2 linked regions of the Lonchura striata genome follow. The protein of the gene in region 1 purifies or fractionates together with the protein of each later gene. This does not show direct contact. Links are inferred from orthologs where the notes say so. Each region holds a gene or a part of one and is shown in the gene's direction. Other genes may lie near its edges.

Region 1 (8,404 bases):
TTTAAATAGGGAAACAGTGGTACATGGAGGTAGAATAAATTGCCTTTGGTAACCAAAAGGTTAAGGATAGAGTCAGGATTGGAAAATGGGTCTTGTGGAGCCCATGTCAATATTTTATCCAGTAGAAAAACCTTTCTTTATTTCTTAACCTAATCTATTTCATAAAAAAATTCTGAGCTCTGCTGTTCTAATAAGAACAAAAAAAGACTTTTTATGTGGAAAAAAAAATATTTCAGCTAGAAAACTCTCACATAAAAAACTTCAAAATACAGATTTCAGAGCTTTTTCTTCCCCATCTCCTTTCTCCAGGCTCAGTTGGCAACACTGTGCTGAGAAGAGATTGGGAAACAGCAGTGCTGTGTGCTTTCTGTGGAGAACCTGTGGAGTGCACAGTTGCATTTCTCTTCATGATCCAAACTGAATCTCACTTTAAAAGATGCATAAGATTTTAGTGAAATTTATTTTATATTAGTTATATATTTAACCATCACGTAACTTTGAAATATAATACCAAGGTTTCTTTTTTTATTATTGTTATTATTCTTTTTGTTCCTTTTACAGTTCTTTAACAAAAGAAAAACCTATTTTGCCCATGACCCACTGCAGCAGTGTGTTGTTGGAGACATTGTTCTTCTGAAAGCTCTGCCTGAGAGAAGGAGCAAACACGTGAAACACGAACTGGCTGAAATTGTGTTCAAGGTTGGCAATGTCATAGATCCCATCACAGGAAAGCCCTGTGCAGGAACCAGATTCCTGGAAAACCTGTCAGATTCAGAAAATCTCACTGAGGCAGATACCACCTATCTAAGTGAGAAACTTCAGGAACTTAAAGTTTGTTCAACAGACAAATAGTGGGGGAAATATTTTAAGCAGAGGGCTTCCAGCTTTTGTCTCTCTCTGTCAGGGATGTTTGAGGCCCTGCTGTGATATGTTAAATGTTTCAGTGAAATCTGTAGTCAAAATAAATAGTAAATGTAGTTGCTTATGCAAAGAGATGTTGCAGTTTGATGGGCACCTGGATCTTTGAATGAAAATACAGAAAAAAAATGCAAGTTTAGTGTTCACACCTCATTTTGTTGCCTGTAGTTTTGCCCCAGTGACAGTTCCCAAAGGCAGCTGCCCTCCTGGAATGACCTCTCTGTGTTAAGACAAGACTACAACTGTGTGATGTTTAATTTCGGTGGGAGGGTCATTATATTATTTGATTGTTCTGTGTTTCAGGCAGTCTTTTGTGGTTTGTAGGGTTACTGGAGATGGTGCTATTAAAGCTTTTGAAAGGAAGTGTAGAATTTTACAATCAGCTGCATGATTGTGTCCTTATTTCCTCTTACAGTGCCTTCTGACTTCCAAACTCTAACAAAAACACAGCCCTTTGCCTTTCTAGTGGCAGAGAGGTGAGAATCAAAGCTTTGGGCAGCTTAGTGTGGTTGGCTCTGTCCCCTGTGCAAGCAGGATTTCATGCTGGGAGAGCTGGATCTCCTTGAGCTTTGCCAGCAGGACGGGGGAGCTGATGAGAATACAAAGCCTAAAAATGATTAGATTTAGGCTCATTAGAAAAGCTAATTAAAATAACACATTTTGGGGAGCTAGAGGTGCTGGTTTGCTGCATGTTTTAATGTGGAGTTAAAGGCCCAAGGAGTTAGTGATGAAAGATGATTTTATCCTGCTACAGCTCTGGGGATCTCATGTCCTCTCCTCCAGGACATAGAGCAAGATGAGAGCCTGCAGCTGTTGCAGCAGCCTCCTGTTCTGACTTTGGATCTAAAAGGGCATCTGTCTTAAAATTTGGCAGTGTGGGAGGGGAGAGTGGGATATGAGAGCTGTGAGCAATCCTTTCCAAAGTATCCATTGGTCTTTAGGGTCAGAAGCAAAAAACAAGGTGTATCAGACTTAAAATCTTAGCCTCTGACCTAAAATATCTTACTTTAAGCAACTGAGTAGCTTCCAGTTGTGTTCTCTGCTGTTGTAAAATTATTAAGGATCATTTTCCCTTTAACTTCCTGCACAAAATCAGTTCTGGCTGCCTAAAAAGCCTGAGTGAACTCAGCAAATGATTTGGGACAACAGGAATGAAAACCTTAAAGTTCCTTTGGTGCTTCAAAGCAAAAAATGCTGCTCTTTGAATGCCAGTGTTCATGTGGGTTGTCAAGAAACTTTCACTGAAATGTTCTGTGTGAAATTCTGTGGGCACAGGCTCTGAGGTTGAGGAAGTGCCTTAAGCATGTGGCTGTTGGGTTTTTCTTGTTGTTTGTGGCAGAGGTTTAGGTTTATGTAAATTCCTCAGGAATTGGAGCTGGCTGATCAAAGCAAAGGAAAAACCTGAGCTCTGATTCCTGCCCAGGTGAATGCAAAATGCGAAACTTCATCCAAGCAGAGATTGGGAGAACTTGGACACAGGGTAGAACTTGGTCCTGGGCTATAGGAAGTGCACTGAAGCTGTATCCAAGCAGAAATTGACCCTCAATATTTGGAATATAAGTGTTCTGATAACTAGATAATTATAAAAAATTGCAAAGCTTTCCTGTTTGCTTAATAGGTTGCATCTACATCTAATTAGGGGAGTGAATATTTTCTTGTCTTGTGATTTCCCTTGAGTAGCTGTGAAAATGCCACTTTTTTTCCTATAAGATTGATTCATCACAGAAGGTTATAATTTTTCCAGTGTAGGCTCCAGGAGGGTTGCTCAAGAACTTGCCACACTGTCAGATCAAAATGTCACTAAAACCAAATTACATGTCAGACTGTGTTACTTAAGAGTCATGGCAATTGTAGGTTAAATTGTTTTAAAGTACAAAGATTGTACTTTTGTGATGTTAAAGCACATCATATGTGTTATCTTCTGGATTAGTCTCAGAAAGTGCTGATAGAAAAGTCATAAAATGGGAAGGGAAAGTTTATAGGGCCAAGATAGAATCATTACAGGTGTTACATGGAATGATAAGGATTAGTCACTGACTGCTTTCTGTGTTTATTGGCTTGTTGCTTTTAGAACTAGCCTTTAATTATTACTCTAATTATCACTTTATCCTTAATTTGAAGTGATTTAAGGATTCAATGCCAGCACACACCTCCTCCTCTGCGAAAATATATCCAAGTACAGCAGAGCAGAGTGTGAGGAAAACCCTTCAGCAACCAGCGAGTCAAAAATGTACTGGGAGAGCAACATACCCAGGGCTGGGGGGTCCCCTAAATCCAACTGGGTCCCCTAAAACCAGGGCTGGGAGTCCCCTAAATCCAACTGGGTCCCCTAAAACCAGGGCTGGGAGTCCCCTAAATCCAACTGGGTCCCCTAAAACCAGGGCTGGGATTCCCCTAAATCTGACTGGGGGACTTCAACCCGAGACTGGAGTCGCCCCAAACTGAGCCCAGGGTCCCCCTAACTGGGGCAGGAGTCTGTCAAAACTGGGGCTTGAGGGTCTTAATAAGTCCAAGTGGGTTCCTCCCCAAACTGGGGCTTGGGTAAACCTAAACAAGGCTGGGGACACCCCAAAACTCTGGCTGGGGTCCCCCCAAATTCAAGTAGATCTCCCCAAACCAGGGCTGGGGTCCCTCTACGTCTTAAGTGTTCCCAAACCAGGGCTGGGAAATCGCCCCCAAATCCGACTTGGTCCCCCCCCCAAACCAAGGCTGGAGAACCCCAAAACCAGAACTGGTTCCCCTATATTTGAATAGAAGTCCCCAAAGCTACGTAGGGTCCCCCTAAACCCAACTTGGTCCCCCCAAACCGGGGCTGGGGTCCCTTTATGTCTGAGTAGGTGTTCCCAAACTGGGGCATGGTTCTCCCTAAAGCCGACTTGGTTCCCCCAAATCCGACTTGGTTCCCCCAAAACCGAGGCTGGAGAACCCCAAAACTAGACCTGGGTCCTCTGTATCTGAGTAGCGGTCCCCAAAGCTGGGCAGGGTTCCCCTAAAGCTGACTTGGTCCCCCCAAAGCAGGGCTGGGGTCCCTCTACGTCTGAATAGGTGTTCCCAAACCGGGGCATGGTTCCCCCCAAATCTGGCTTGATCCCCCCAAAACCAAGACTGGTTTTGGTCCCCAAAGCTGGGCAGGGTCCCCCTAAACTCTACTTGGTCCCCCCAAACCGGGGCTGGGGTCCCTTTATGTCTAAGTAGGTGTTCCCAAACCGGGGCATGGTTCTCCCTAAAGCCGACTTGGTTCCCCCAAATCCGACTTGGTCCCCCCAAAACCGAGGCTGGGGAGCCCCAAAACCAGAGCTGGGTCCCCTATATCTGAGTAGCGGTCCCCAAAGCTGGGCAGGGTCCCCCTAAACCCAACTTGGTCCCTCCAAACTGGGGCTGGGGTCCCTTTATGTCTGAGTAGGTGTTCCCAAACCAGGGCATGGTTCTCCCCAAATCCGACTTGGTCCCCCCAAAACCGAGGCTGGGGAGCCCCAAAACCAGAACTGGTTCCCCTATATCTGAGTAGCGGTCCCCAAAGCTGGGCAGGGTCCCCCTAAACCCAACTTGGTCCCTCCAAACCGGGGCTGGGGTCCCTTTATGTCTAAGTAGGTGTTCCCAAACCGGGGCATGGTTCTCCCTAAAGCCGACTTGGTTCCCCCAAATCCGACTTGGTTCCCCCAAAACCGAGGCTGGGGAGCCCCAAAACCAGAGCTGGGTCCCCTATATCTGAGTAGCGGTCCACAAAGCTGAGCAAGGTCCCCTTAAAGCTGGCTTGGTTCCCTCAAATCTGACTTGGTCCTCCCTAAACCAAGGTTGGGTAACCCCAAAACCAGAACTGGTTCCCCTATATCTGAGTAGCGGTCCCCAGAGCTGGGCAGGGTCCCCTAAACCCGACTGGGTCCCCCCAAGGCGGGGCCGGGGTCCCCCCTCAGCTGAGGGGCCGTGAGGGGGTCGCGGGGCCGCGCATGCGCGGGCGGCGCTGCCCGCCAGGGGGCGTGGCCGCAGCCCCCGGCCCAGGAGGGAGGCGGCGGGAGCAAGATGGCGGCGCGAGTGCTGCTGCGGGGGAGCCTGGCGGGAGCGCCCGCCCTGCCGCGCCTGCAGCCCGGCACCGGGCCTGCCCTCAGGTGAGCCCTGAGGGGGGCGAGGCGGGCGGGACGGGGCCGCCGGGGGAAGCTGCACGGCAAGAGCCGGCGCCGCCCGAGCCGCCTTGCGCCCCGCCGCGCGCAGCGTCCCCTTGCCAGGCTGGAAATGGCGCCCCGCCGGCGGGGCAGCGGCCGGGCCTGGGGCGGGCGGTGCGAGCGGCGGGGCGTCCCTCAAGGTCACGGGCCGCAAGGCCGGCCCCTTCCTTCCCTCCCCGAGTCCGCCCCTGGGTGGGAGGATGGCCGCCGGAGCCCGGGCTCGGGGGGCGCCCGGAGCCTTTCCCCTCACGGCCACCCCCGCGCGGAGCGGGCGCGCCGCGGCTCCGGGGTGCCCCGCCGCCTGCGCACCGCTGCGCCCGTGTTAGACACCGGGATGCTCGCACCGCGCTGCCCCTCCAACTCCTCCGAGCAACAGGGTGCACGGCCGGCAGCGGCTCCTGTCAGCGGGCACGGCCGCAAATCCCTGCTTGCCCAGGGTTTGCGTGGCTGCACATCCCGATGTCTTCCTGCCTTCACCGTTCACAGCCACGGCTGGTACTTCCCGTGGGAGCTGGGCTCACCTTCTCCCGGTGCTAGGGCACACAGAGAGGCACATCCCGCAGGTTTTGGTGTGCAGAGATTTGTATTTCTGTGTGCGAGGGTGCCCGAGGTGCATTCATACACGCACACAGCTCCTGGGGGCACCTCCCAGGTGTAGGAAGCAGGCACAGGGTGATGGAAACACAGGAATTCCCAAGCTGGGATGGATCTACACAGTTTTTCCTCCCTTTCCTTGAAGCTGCCGCTTCAAGCTCTAGAACAAGCATCCCTGCAAGCAGCTGTTCAGGGAATGTGTTGTGAGGTTTTACCTGCATGATTTTTGCATATTTTAGTTGCAAATAAACTTTGTTTAGACCACAGATCAAAAGCTGTCAAAGATAGAAAAGTTGGTTTTCTTACTCTTCCAGGTAGATTTGGGTTACTACAAAATCTAAATACTTAACCTGGTGTGTCCCACCCAGGTTATGTTTTGTGCTAAAAAGGTGTTTTCCGTGAGATTTTTAATCTAATCTAAACAAGCAATTCAGTGTTAGCCTTTTGTGTTCAGAGCCCAACCTTTGCAGCAGGAAAGCAAGGCCCACAGTTAATATTTGCAGCTTGAGAACTTGATGACAAGTTCTCAAAGACAAGTTGATGCTCACAGCTGTTGAAAGACCTGAATTCAGTCCCTGCTCCTCCAGAGCTAATTTTGGGTACAGATTGCCCCAAAAATTGAATCAGTGATCAATTCAGGGCTTCTTGGTTCAGTGGTATTTTTAGGATATTGATTAAAAGTCAGGCTATTGAATCTCAGTTTGGGTGCAGTGTGTGAGGTGTATATTTAGTTGTGATTTGTGCTCATGAGGAGCTTTACAGCTGCTGGGGAAAAGATTTTTCCATACATGTAAAATATTACTCATGTCATTGTTTTGAAAATTAACCATACCTCCAGTTTTCAGTGCAGTTTAACATTCAAGTCACGAGATTCTCCTAACAGCAAAGAAATTTGCTTTTCAGAGTTAATCCCTGTAGCTCCAGCTTACTTCTGCTGCTGATGGAGTTCTTTTTCCTCTTCAAAGTTTGCTGCAAACAATGATCCTTGTAGATGAGTTTTCTAAATATTACCTTGCTAACTTTGTTTAATAAAGGGGAGGGAATTGTTTAAAATGAGAGTTTACAGGTCTGAGTATTGCAGGGTTTGACTTCTGCCTCCTGGAGCCAGGGAGGGCTTAATTTGAGGGAGCCTTTTCAAACAAAACTTGAATTTCTGAGGTGGGGTTCTCTGAGCTCAGAGAAAGCTCCACTCCAGCAGCAGCCTTATCATGGACTGCCCTTCAAATGCCTGCCCTCAGGAATTTAGCACAGCCTCATGTTTGTGTGTGTGCCCAGAGCAGGGCAGGCACCATTTTCAATAAACACACCAAGATTTAAACATCATTTCTTTGTGCTGAAGGTCATCTCAGCTGTGGTGGTTGTTTCTCTGCTGTGCAATACTTTCCCTCTCCTCCAGCCTGCTTCCATGGGCAGAACCAGGTCATTATGTTCTTTTCTGACACTGGGATTAAAAGGTGGATTGTTGTAAAAAATGCTTTTGTGCAATACAGGTGTGTCCTAGGGGATATTTTCCCAAAGGAAATTGAGATTTTCTTTCCCTGTTTTCTTTTCCTGGTAGAAAGCTTTGGGCTGGAGGTCCAGCTGTCCTCTGGATCCACAAGTCAGTAGTTAGGGGTGAAAAGTTGATGGCTGAGATTTCCACCTTAGAAGTAAATATATGTGCTACAAATGCCACATGTAATATTTCAGTATTTCAGGAGAAGCTTGTGACAGAATTAATTTTTCTTCACTGTGGCTACTATGAGGCTGTCAAAAAAAGGCAAATTGGAGGACGAGAAAGAAGCAAAACCTTTTGAGCTTGTCAGACATTGTAGAGGATCAGTTAAATGCATCAGATTCCTTGTCCTGGTCTCTGGGAAAAAGGAATAATTCCTTTAACACATCACTTAAAAAACCACAGTCTGTGTGCTGTGATGTAAAGGGAGGTGCCACTATTTTGAAAGTGTACTTGGAGAAGCTGGACAAAGATTGGATAAGAAAAGACAGTGAAAATGTTATGTTTGGAGGCAGGGGAAATGTGGATGTTGTACAGAGAGCCTGGCTCTGTGTCCCTGTGTGTTGCTGCAATCTCATCCTCTTTCCCAAATCAGTATTTCATGCTATTTTTCCTCTTGAAAGACATTTCCCTTTTGTAGAGCTGTCTTTAAGGAGCACAGGAACATATGGCACTTCCTTTCCCTTTTACACTGTGCAGTTTTCCTTCTGCACGTTTTTTGCTCTTTTTCACTCCTGACTCTTTACACCAGGCCAGACCCAGCCCTGGGCAAAAACAATGGGTTAAAAAAGAGGATAAATAGGCAGGAGAAGCAGCCATTGCACAGGGAATAAGCATGGATAATGTGGGTTGTGGGAATAGGGTTTGTAGAGAATTTTTAAAGTTTGATGGAAGATTTTATGTACATTAATTGTTACAGTGACAGTGTTAGCACCTTGTGTGCTTCACTGTGCACAGCAAATGATGAACAAGGCCATCAGAGAAGTTTTTTCTGTTCAAGAGAGAAGGGGAAATGTGGGAAACGGATTTGTAGAGAATTCTCAAAGCCTGGCAGAAGGCTCTCATAGTGGGCATCCATATGCAAACTTGGAGATAAGAAATGCTGACTTAGAAATGCCATGAAATAGAAAAGACATTGTTGAGAAAAAAAGGGAACTAGAAACAAGTTTCAAAGGATGGCCTTGCAAATAAGTCTGGATACTTTAAAGAAATAGAACTATGAAAAATGCATTGTAGT
Region 2 (8,145 bases), on another chromosome or scaffold:
CTGGCCTTGGGCACTGCCAGGGATCCAGGGGCAGCCACAGTGCTCTGGGCATCCTGTGCCAGGGCCTCACCTCCTCACAGCCAAAAATTCCTTCCCAATATCCCACCCAAATCCCTTTTCCACTTTGAAGCCATTCCCTGGCTCCTGTCCCTCCATCCTTGTCCCCAGTCCCTCTGCAGCTCTCCTGGAGCCCCTCCAGGCCCTGCCAGGGGCTCTGAGCTCTCCCTGGATCCTTCTCCTCTCCAGGTGAGCCCCCCCAGCTCTCCCTGGATCCTTCTCCTCTCCAGGTGAGCCCCCCCAGCTCTCCCTGGATCCTTCTCCTCTCCAGGTGAGCCCCCCCAGCTCTCCCAGCCTGCCTCTAGAGCAGAGGGGCTGTAATCACTGCTATAAACCCACAGAAAAGCAGCAGGGAGCACATAAGAAAATCCTTTCTCCATCCTGTCTCCATAACAGTCAGGTGTGGCTTTAGTTCAGCTGTGGATTTGGTGGCACAGCAATCCAGGAAGAAGAGCCTACAGCAGATTCTTGGCCCCTGTCCTGCCAGTTCTGTCAAACTTGTTGCTTCCTCTGCTATAAATTCTCCAACTGCTTCCTCTAGACATGCTCCATAAATCCTTACCCTTCCTGGGATTCATACACACACTGACAACCTTCTTCAAACCACATTCCTGCACTAAATACACTGGAATAACTGCAGCAGCCCAACTCAGGGCCCCTCCTGAGCCTCTAGGCCCAAGAATAACTACATTCAAAGGAACAAGTGAGGTTTTTCACAGAAAGAGTTGAGTTTTAACCAAACCAGGGCGTGCTTGCTGGGTTTCACTGGTCTCTGATACTCACGTGGTGCCAGACTGCAGAAAGGGAATGCGGACACCCTCCACCACCACCACATTCTTCACCCCAGTTTTGCCCAAGGTCTTCTTAGTCTTTGGCTGAACTGGGAAGAGAGAAGTGATGGTGACAAGAATATCAGCAATTTTCATATAGATCCTGCAAAGCTTCTAGAAAACAAAGGAAATTGTCCTTTTTTGGTGTGTAAGTGAAAGGCAGGGAAGGTAGGAATCCTGGAATCATGGAATGGTTTGGGTAGGAAGGGACCTCAAAGCTCATCCATTGCACCCCTGCCATGGACAGGGACACCTCCTGCTATCCCAGGTTGCTCCAAGCTCCATCCAACTGAGCCTGGAACACTTCCAGGGATGGGGCCTGTGCCTCATCATCCTCACAGCCAAGAATTTCTTCCTAATGGGAAGAAATTTCTTCCTAATGGGAAGAAATTCTCTCCCCAGTGGGAGAGGTTCAAAACAAGGGATGTCATGACCTGGCATCATTCCACAGGCCAGTGCCAGGACAAAACTCCAGCACTGTCTGGAGATTCCTTCAGGCTCTTCCCAAAGCCTGGCGATGATGGGGAGCTGCTGTCCAGGCCTGTTCCCAAAATCCCAAAGCATGAATCACCTGAGCAACCCCCACAGTGAACCCAGAGCGTGGATCACCCCAGCCACTCACTGTGGGCTGAGACTAAAAACTGGGAATGGTGCTGGGAGCTGGGGCAAACTGGGAACGGGCACTGGGAGCCAGGGGCAGACTGAGAATGGGCACTGGGAGCAGCCTGGGAATAGCACTGGGAGCTGGGGGCAGACTGGGAATGGCCCTGGGAGCTGGGGGCAGACTGGGAATGGCCCTGGGAGCTGGGGGCAGACTGGGAATGGCCCTGGGAGCACACTGGGAATGGCACTGGGAGCTGGGGGCAGACTGGGAATGGGCATGGGAGCAGACTAGGAATGGCACTGGGAGCAGACTAGGAATGGCACTGGGAGCTGGGGGCAGACTAGGAATGGGCATGGGAGCAGACTAGGAATGGCACTGGGAGCTGGGGGCAGACTAGGAATGGGCATGGAAGCAGACTAGGAATGGCACTGGGAGCTGGGGGCAGACTGGGAATGGGCACTGGGAGCAGACTAGGAATGGCACTGGGAGCAGACTGGGAATGGCACTGGGAGCTGGGGGCAGACTAGGAATGGGCATGGGAGCAGACTAGGAATGGCACTGGGAGCTGGGGGCAGACTGGGAATGGCACTGGGAGCTGGGGGCAGACTGGGAATGGCCACTGGGAGCAAACTGGGAATGGCACTGGGCGCCAGGGCACTCAGCAAATGAGAGGACTCTGCTGCAAATACTGCTTTGCCTGAAGTTTTCCTTGCTTGCAGCTTTTCAGGAACACCCGAACCACCCTGCATTCTGCACCATTTCTAAGATTTAAGTGGAACAAGACTGTGGGAAGTGGAGGCAGCTTCCAAAACACCCCTGTCTAGCACAGACCCACTGAGATTCTGGTGTTTCCTCCTTACCTGCAGCTTGGAACGGCGAGGAGCAGCTGAGTGATCGAGTAACTGGAAAACAAGAAAGGGGAAAAAATACCAGAAAAATGTCAGAAACAGTTCTAGTCTCTGCAAGAAGGGTTAGGAAAGCAGATAGTGTCACTCTAAGACACCTGAGCACCTGTGGGGTGTTGGGTGGTTTACTCTGTGCAGAAACCTGGTACACTTTCTGTTAACTGTTAACTCAAGACTCCTCCCCATATGATGCAGGAAGGGACAAACAAGGCAACAATGTAATTAGGATTAAAAAGTAAAAAATGTCAGTCTTTTAAAGGTGAGAACGGGTATAGATTCAGACCCCAGCATCCATTCCAAACCCAACACTTCAACCAGAGGTTTACGGCCACCAATAAAATCTAAAGATACTCACAGGCCCCAGCAGCCCAGGCTGAGGACACGGGGAGGTTCCGCAGGGCAGAGCTCAGCATGGAACTCATTTTGGGATCTAGGGAAAGGCTGGGCTCAGTCCAAGCTGCTGTGTCCAGAACAATCCCAAGGGAAGCGTCCTGCCTGCCTCACACAGAGCCAGCAAGGTGAGGGGCACACACTGCAAGGGCAGCAGCAGCACAGGGAATCACCTCCCACCACGCTTGTGCCTGTGAATAAACACCGCCCTGTGAGCTTCTCAATTCCCTCCCAGGAACTGCTCCTCCACTTCCCACTGGAAAATTGTCCCAGTGCCCAGGCAGCCCTGCTGCCAGCAGCACCTCCTGACACCAGCAGTGTCCTTGGCACCCCTGCCCCTCGTTGGCCCCTGGTGCCAGCCTGAGGATCCTGCTGTGCATCCCCACAGCAAACACAGCAAGTTCGCCCCCAAAAACCCCTCTGAAGCTCTCCCAAATCGGGTTTCCCTATAAACAAACCCTCATCTGCAGTTTATTGCCGAGATGGCCCTCACAGCTCCAGGACTTTGCTTGATCCATGTCAACATTCATCTCCCTCTGTCACACTTTGTGGGTTCAAATCCTGGCACTTTCTCTCCCAAGCACAGAGTTTTGCCATGGAGGGGCACAGGAACACCCACAGTCCCAAACCCAGCCCTCTGCAGTTCCCCATAACTCAGCACAAGCTGCCAGTCACCCCCTTTGACACCTCCCAGCTGCAGCTCCACACCTGGAATGTGACCCTTCCCAGCCCCAGGCTCCTCCTGCCAACAAAAATCCCAAAACCAGACCTTTCCAAAGCATCCTGCTCCTCCTCCACCTCTGCCAACCTCCCTCCCCACACCTGACTGAAGTTTTCCCCTAAATTTTCCCTGCCCAGCTGACAGAAGTTTCTCCCAGGTGTAACCTCCTCCTCCCTCCCACACTGCACAGCCATCTCCTCCCGGTGCACCCCCGTTCCTGCCCCTTCAAAACACCCCAAACTCCCTCATTTTTGGGAGCCAGTGCTCCCCTGGCACCCCAAGGGCTCAGCCCTGCCCACACAAATCGTCAAGACAAAGCTCCTTGCAGAGCCAGGATTTGCCTGGATTCCACAGCTCTGTGACCCTCACGGATCCCTTCCAACTCAGGATAATCCACAATTCCATGAACAGCCCCTGCTCCCTTCCTGTCCCCACACACCCCTGACACTTTCACACCGCAGCACCGCCACCTCCACCCCGGGACTCCCACCCCAAACACACCCGTGCTGCTCTCAGCCACCCCCAAACCCCCTCATCCACCCAGGGCCAACTCACGACCCCTGCTGTCCGCCCAGGACCAGCCCCTCAGTCCTTTCATCCATCCAGCACTGACCCCCTGGGACCTCCTCACCCTTTCCCAGCCCCCCTACCCCATCCATCAGGAATGAACCCACCAAAACTCCCCTCACTCCCATTCGGAACGAACTGCCCGACTCCCCAAACTTCCATCCAGAAAGAACCTCCAACTCCTGTCACGTCTCCCCATCCATCAGAACGAACCCCCCAACTTCCCTCACTTCCAACTGGAATGAACACCCAGACTCCTCTCACATCCAGAACGAACCCCTCAACTCCCCTCACTGCTCCCCGTCCATTCAGAATGATCCAGACTCGCCTCACTGCTCCTCGTCCATCCAAAAGGAAACCCCGAGTCCCCTCACGTCCACCCAGAACGAACCCCCCGCCTCCCCTCACTTCCATCGAGAACGAACCCCCCGACTCCCCTCACGTCCCCCCTCCATCTGCCCCCACCCCCGGCCTCCCTTCATCCCTCCCCGCCCGCTGAGGACAGACCCCCGACCCTCTGCTCCAGCCCGCACCGCGCCTGACCCCCACCCTCCTCCTCAGGACCGCCTCCCGACTGCTCCCACCCTCCCCGCGCTGCCGTCCACGCAGGACGGAGCCCCTGACCGCCCCGTGCGCTCCCGTCCCTTTCCGTCCGCTCACCTCCGCCCTCACCGCGCTCTGCCGCCGCCGCCGCTCCTCCACCCAGCGAGGACCCCGCGCCCCGCCACCCTCGGGCTGCCCGCGTCCGCCTGACCCGCACCTCTCCCTCTACCGCCGCCCCGCAGCCCGTCCCCGGCCTCTCCCGCAATCCGCTGCGGCCCGGCGCGGGTCGCACCCACCCGAGGCTCGGCGGAGAGCGGAGCGGGAGGCGGCGGCGGGGCGGCGGCGGCGGCGAAGCGCGCGGGCAGCGCGGCGGGCAGCGCGGGCGGGGCGCGGCGGGCGGGGCGTGCGCCGTCAGGCCCCCCCCCCCACCGGCGGCCTCTCCTCCCTCATTCGACCTCGGCGAAGATGGCGGCGGCGGTGCGAGCCATCGGCAGCCTCGGCCGCCTCCCGGCCGCCGCCAGGGCCGGCCCGACGCGGCACACCCCGCCCCGCGGTGAGCCAGGGCACGGCGGGGAGCGGGAGCGGCCGCACTGCGGGGGCCCCCGCCTGAGGGGAGCACCGGGGGATGGGGGCAGTGGGGGGTGAGGGACGGGAGGTGCCTGAGGGGGTATTGAGGGAAGGGGAGCGCTGGCGGGCAGGGGGGCAGTGAAGGGGCAGTGAAGGCTCGGGGGACGCTAAAGGAGCGAGGATTGGCGTGGGATGGGGCTCACTGAGGAGAAAGTTTTGGGGGGACGGTGAGGAGGCGCTGCAGGGGTGGCGCTGAGGGGGCGAGGGGCAGGGGGGCACTGAGAGCCGCGCTAAGTGGGCGAGGGCCGGGGTGACATTGAGGGGATGAGGAACAAGGGGTCCCAGAGAGGATTTCATGGTGCTGGGGCAGGAGTTGGGGGTGTCTGGGGGTCACAAAGGGTTCTTGAGGTGATGGCTGTGAGGAGTTCGCAGGAAGGCTGTGAGGGCCGGGACTGGGACAGGGGATCCCCGGGGCAGCTGTGGGGTGGGAGGTGTCCCCATGTGTGTCTGTGCCCCGTGTGAGGGGTTTGTCCCCAGAGTCACCCAAGGGGATCCCTGGCAGGTCCCAAACATCCCCCACCCCGAGGTTTGTCCCCTCCGTGTCCTGTGGTCTCTGGGGGTTGTGTGCCCCCATGGGGACATCCTGCTGTGCCAGTCCTTGCACAGGGACACGCTGTGGGAATCTCTGAGCAGTTCTTGGGGGGTCCCAGTGAGCTGGCACTGATGGGGGGACACACCCTCCAGTCAGATCCCTGCACATGAGCTGAGCCACGGGGAGAGAGTGTCCTTGTGCCCTGACACGTGTGCCTGTCCCCAGTGCCCCGAGTGGCTGCTTGGAAAGGAGAGGGTGTCCCCATGTCCTTGGCAGCCTGGGTGCTGTGGCTGCCCTCCAGGCAGGCAGGTGTATCCATGGGATCCCTGTCATCCCTGTGACCCCGTAGTCCCACTTGCCTGGGGGGAGGCTGTCTCCAGGTGCTCCATGATTTCTCAGCTGAGAGAATTGGGGATGTTCAGCCTTGGGAAAAGAATCATCCTCTGGGGAGAGCTCAGAGCCTGGAGGGCTCCAGGAGAGCTGCAGAGGGATTTGGGACAAGGAATGGAGGGACAGGACCCAGGGAATGGCTGTGTCCAGAGGGCAGGGCTGGATGGGAGATTGGGAATTAGGAATTGTTCCCTGTGAGGGTAGGGAGGGGCCGGGATGGAATTCCCAGAGCAGCTGGGGCTGCCCCTGGATAATCCCTGGCAGTGCCCAAGGCCAGGTTGGACACTGGGGTTTGGAGCCACCTGGAATAGTGGAAGGGGTCCCAGCCATGGCAGGGGTGGCACTGGATGAGCTTTAACATTCCTTCCCATCTAAACCATCCTGGGATTCAGTGATTCCATGATTTTGTGGGGGCATCTCCCTTGCCAGCTTGGGCAGGGCTGTGGCTCTCTCCTGCCTCTGCACGGATCTGGCTTGGTGCCTCCTGGCCACCGAGGCAGGGAGTCCCCAGGAGCCCTGGGAAGGCCAGAGGGCCTGGCTGGGAAGCTCTGGAAACCTCACATTTGAGCACTTTGAAGGGCCTCAGAGTCTGGTGTTGATGTTGACCCAAACTCCAGCTCTATTTCGTTTAAACCCAAACCTGAGCTCAGCAGTGCGGGGTTCAGAGCTGGACTCGGTGCTCTGAGAGCTCTTATCCAACAAGTCCATGGTTCTGGGATCATGGTGAGCAATTCCTGGTTCAGGGATTATGGTGAGCAATGCCTGGTTCTGGGATCATGGTGAGCAATCCCATGGTTCTGGGATCATGGTGAGCAATTCCTGGTTCTGGGATCATGGTGAACAATTCCTGGTTCTGGGATCAGGGTGAGCAATTCCTGGTTCTGGGATCATGGTGAGCAATCCTGGTTCTGGGATCATGGTGAGCAATTCCTGGTTCTGGGATCATGGTGAACAATCCCATGATTCTGGGATCCTGGTGAACAATTCCATGGTTCTGGGATCATGATGAACAATTCCTGGTTCTGGGATCATGGTGAGCAATTCCTGTTTCTGGGATCATGGTGAACAATCCCATGGTTCTGGGATCAGGGTGAGCAATTCCATGGTTCTGGGATCATGGTGGACAATTCCATGTTTCTGGGATCATAATGAACAATTCCTGGTTCTGGGATCATGGTGAGCAATTCCTGGTTCAGGGATTATGGTGAGCAATTCCTGGTTCTGGAATCATTGTTGTGGCGCGGCATGTGGCACAGCAGATCATGGTGAGCAATTCCTGGTTCTGGGATCATGGTGAGCAATTCCTGGTTCTGGGATCATGGTGAGCAATTCCTGGTTCTGGGATCATGGTGAACAATCCCATGGTTCTGGGATCGTGGTGAACAATCCCATGTTTCTGGGATCATAATGAACAATTCCTGGTTCTGGGATCATGGTGAACAATTCCTGGTTCTGGGATCGTGGTGAGCAATTCCTGGTTCTGGGATCATGGTGAGCAATTCCATGGCTCTGGGATCATGATGAGCAATTCCTGGTTCTGGGATCATGGTGAACAATCCCATGGTTCTGGGATCATGATGAACAATCCCACGTTTCTGGAATCATGGTGAGCAATCCCACAGTTCTGGGATCATGATGAACAATCCCATGTTTCTGGGATCATGGTGAGCAATCCCACGGTTCAGGGATCATGGTGAGCAATTCCTGGTTCTGGGATTATGGTGAACAATCCCACAGTTCTGGGATCATGATGAGCAATCCCATGTTTCCAGGATCATGGTGAGCAATCCCACGGTTCAGGGATCCTGGTGAGCAATTCCTGGTTCTGGGATCACAGCTGTGTTACGTGCAGCCTTGGAGCAGGTTTGTACGTGACAGGGAGCTGCAATCACTGAGGAGGAGACTTGTGGCAACTCCAGAGAGTTCTCAGGCTGCTGCTGGTTGGAATTCTTGTTCCAACTGGTGAAGCTCTCCACAAC

Evidence for each region.
Region 2: the proteins of NIPSNAP2 (region 1) and HADHA purify together in Homo sapiens (affinity purification with mass spectrometry; 3 studies listed by BioGRID and IntAct, with this or other methods). This does not show direct contact. The link is inferred for Lonchura striata from reciprocal best matches to the Homo sapiens genes NIPSNAP2 and HADHA.

Annotation. Positions count from the first base shown.
Region 1 is NC_134622.1:6,390,974-6,399,377, forward strand, and holds the start of NIPSNAP2 (protein NipSnap homolog 2), read left to right. Parts: upstream 1-4,907; 5' UTR 4,908-4,938; coding exon 4,939-5,024; intron 5,025-8,404. Other genes in the region: MRPS17 (small ribosomal subunit protein uS17m), read left to right, coding at 562-852. UniProt on the Homo sapiens protein: Protein involved in mitophagy by facilitating recruitment of the autophagy machinery required for clearance of damaged mitochondria.
Region 2 is NC_134605.1:113,198,135-113,206,279, forward strand, and holds the start of HADHA (trifunctional enzyme subunit alpha, mitochondrial), read left to right. Parts: upstream 1-5,045; 5' UTR 5,046-5,082; coding exon 5,083-5,170; intron 5,171-8,145. Other genes in the region: HADHB (trifunctional enzyme subunit beta, mitochondrial), read right to left, coding at 841-937, 2,352-2,393, 2,752-2,818. UniProt on the Homo sapiens protein: Mitochondrial trifunctional enzyme catalyzes the last three of the four reactions of the mitochondrial beta-oxidation pathway.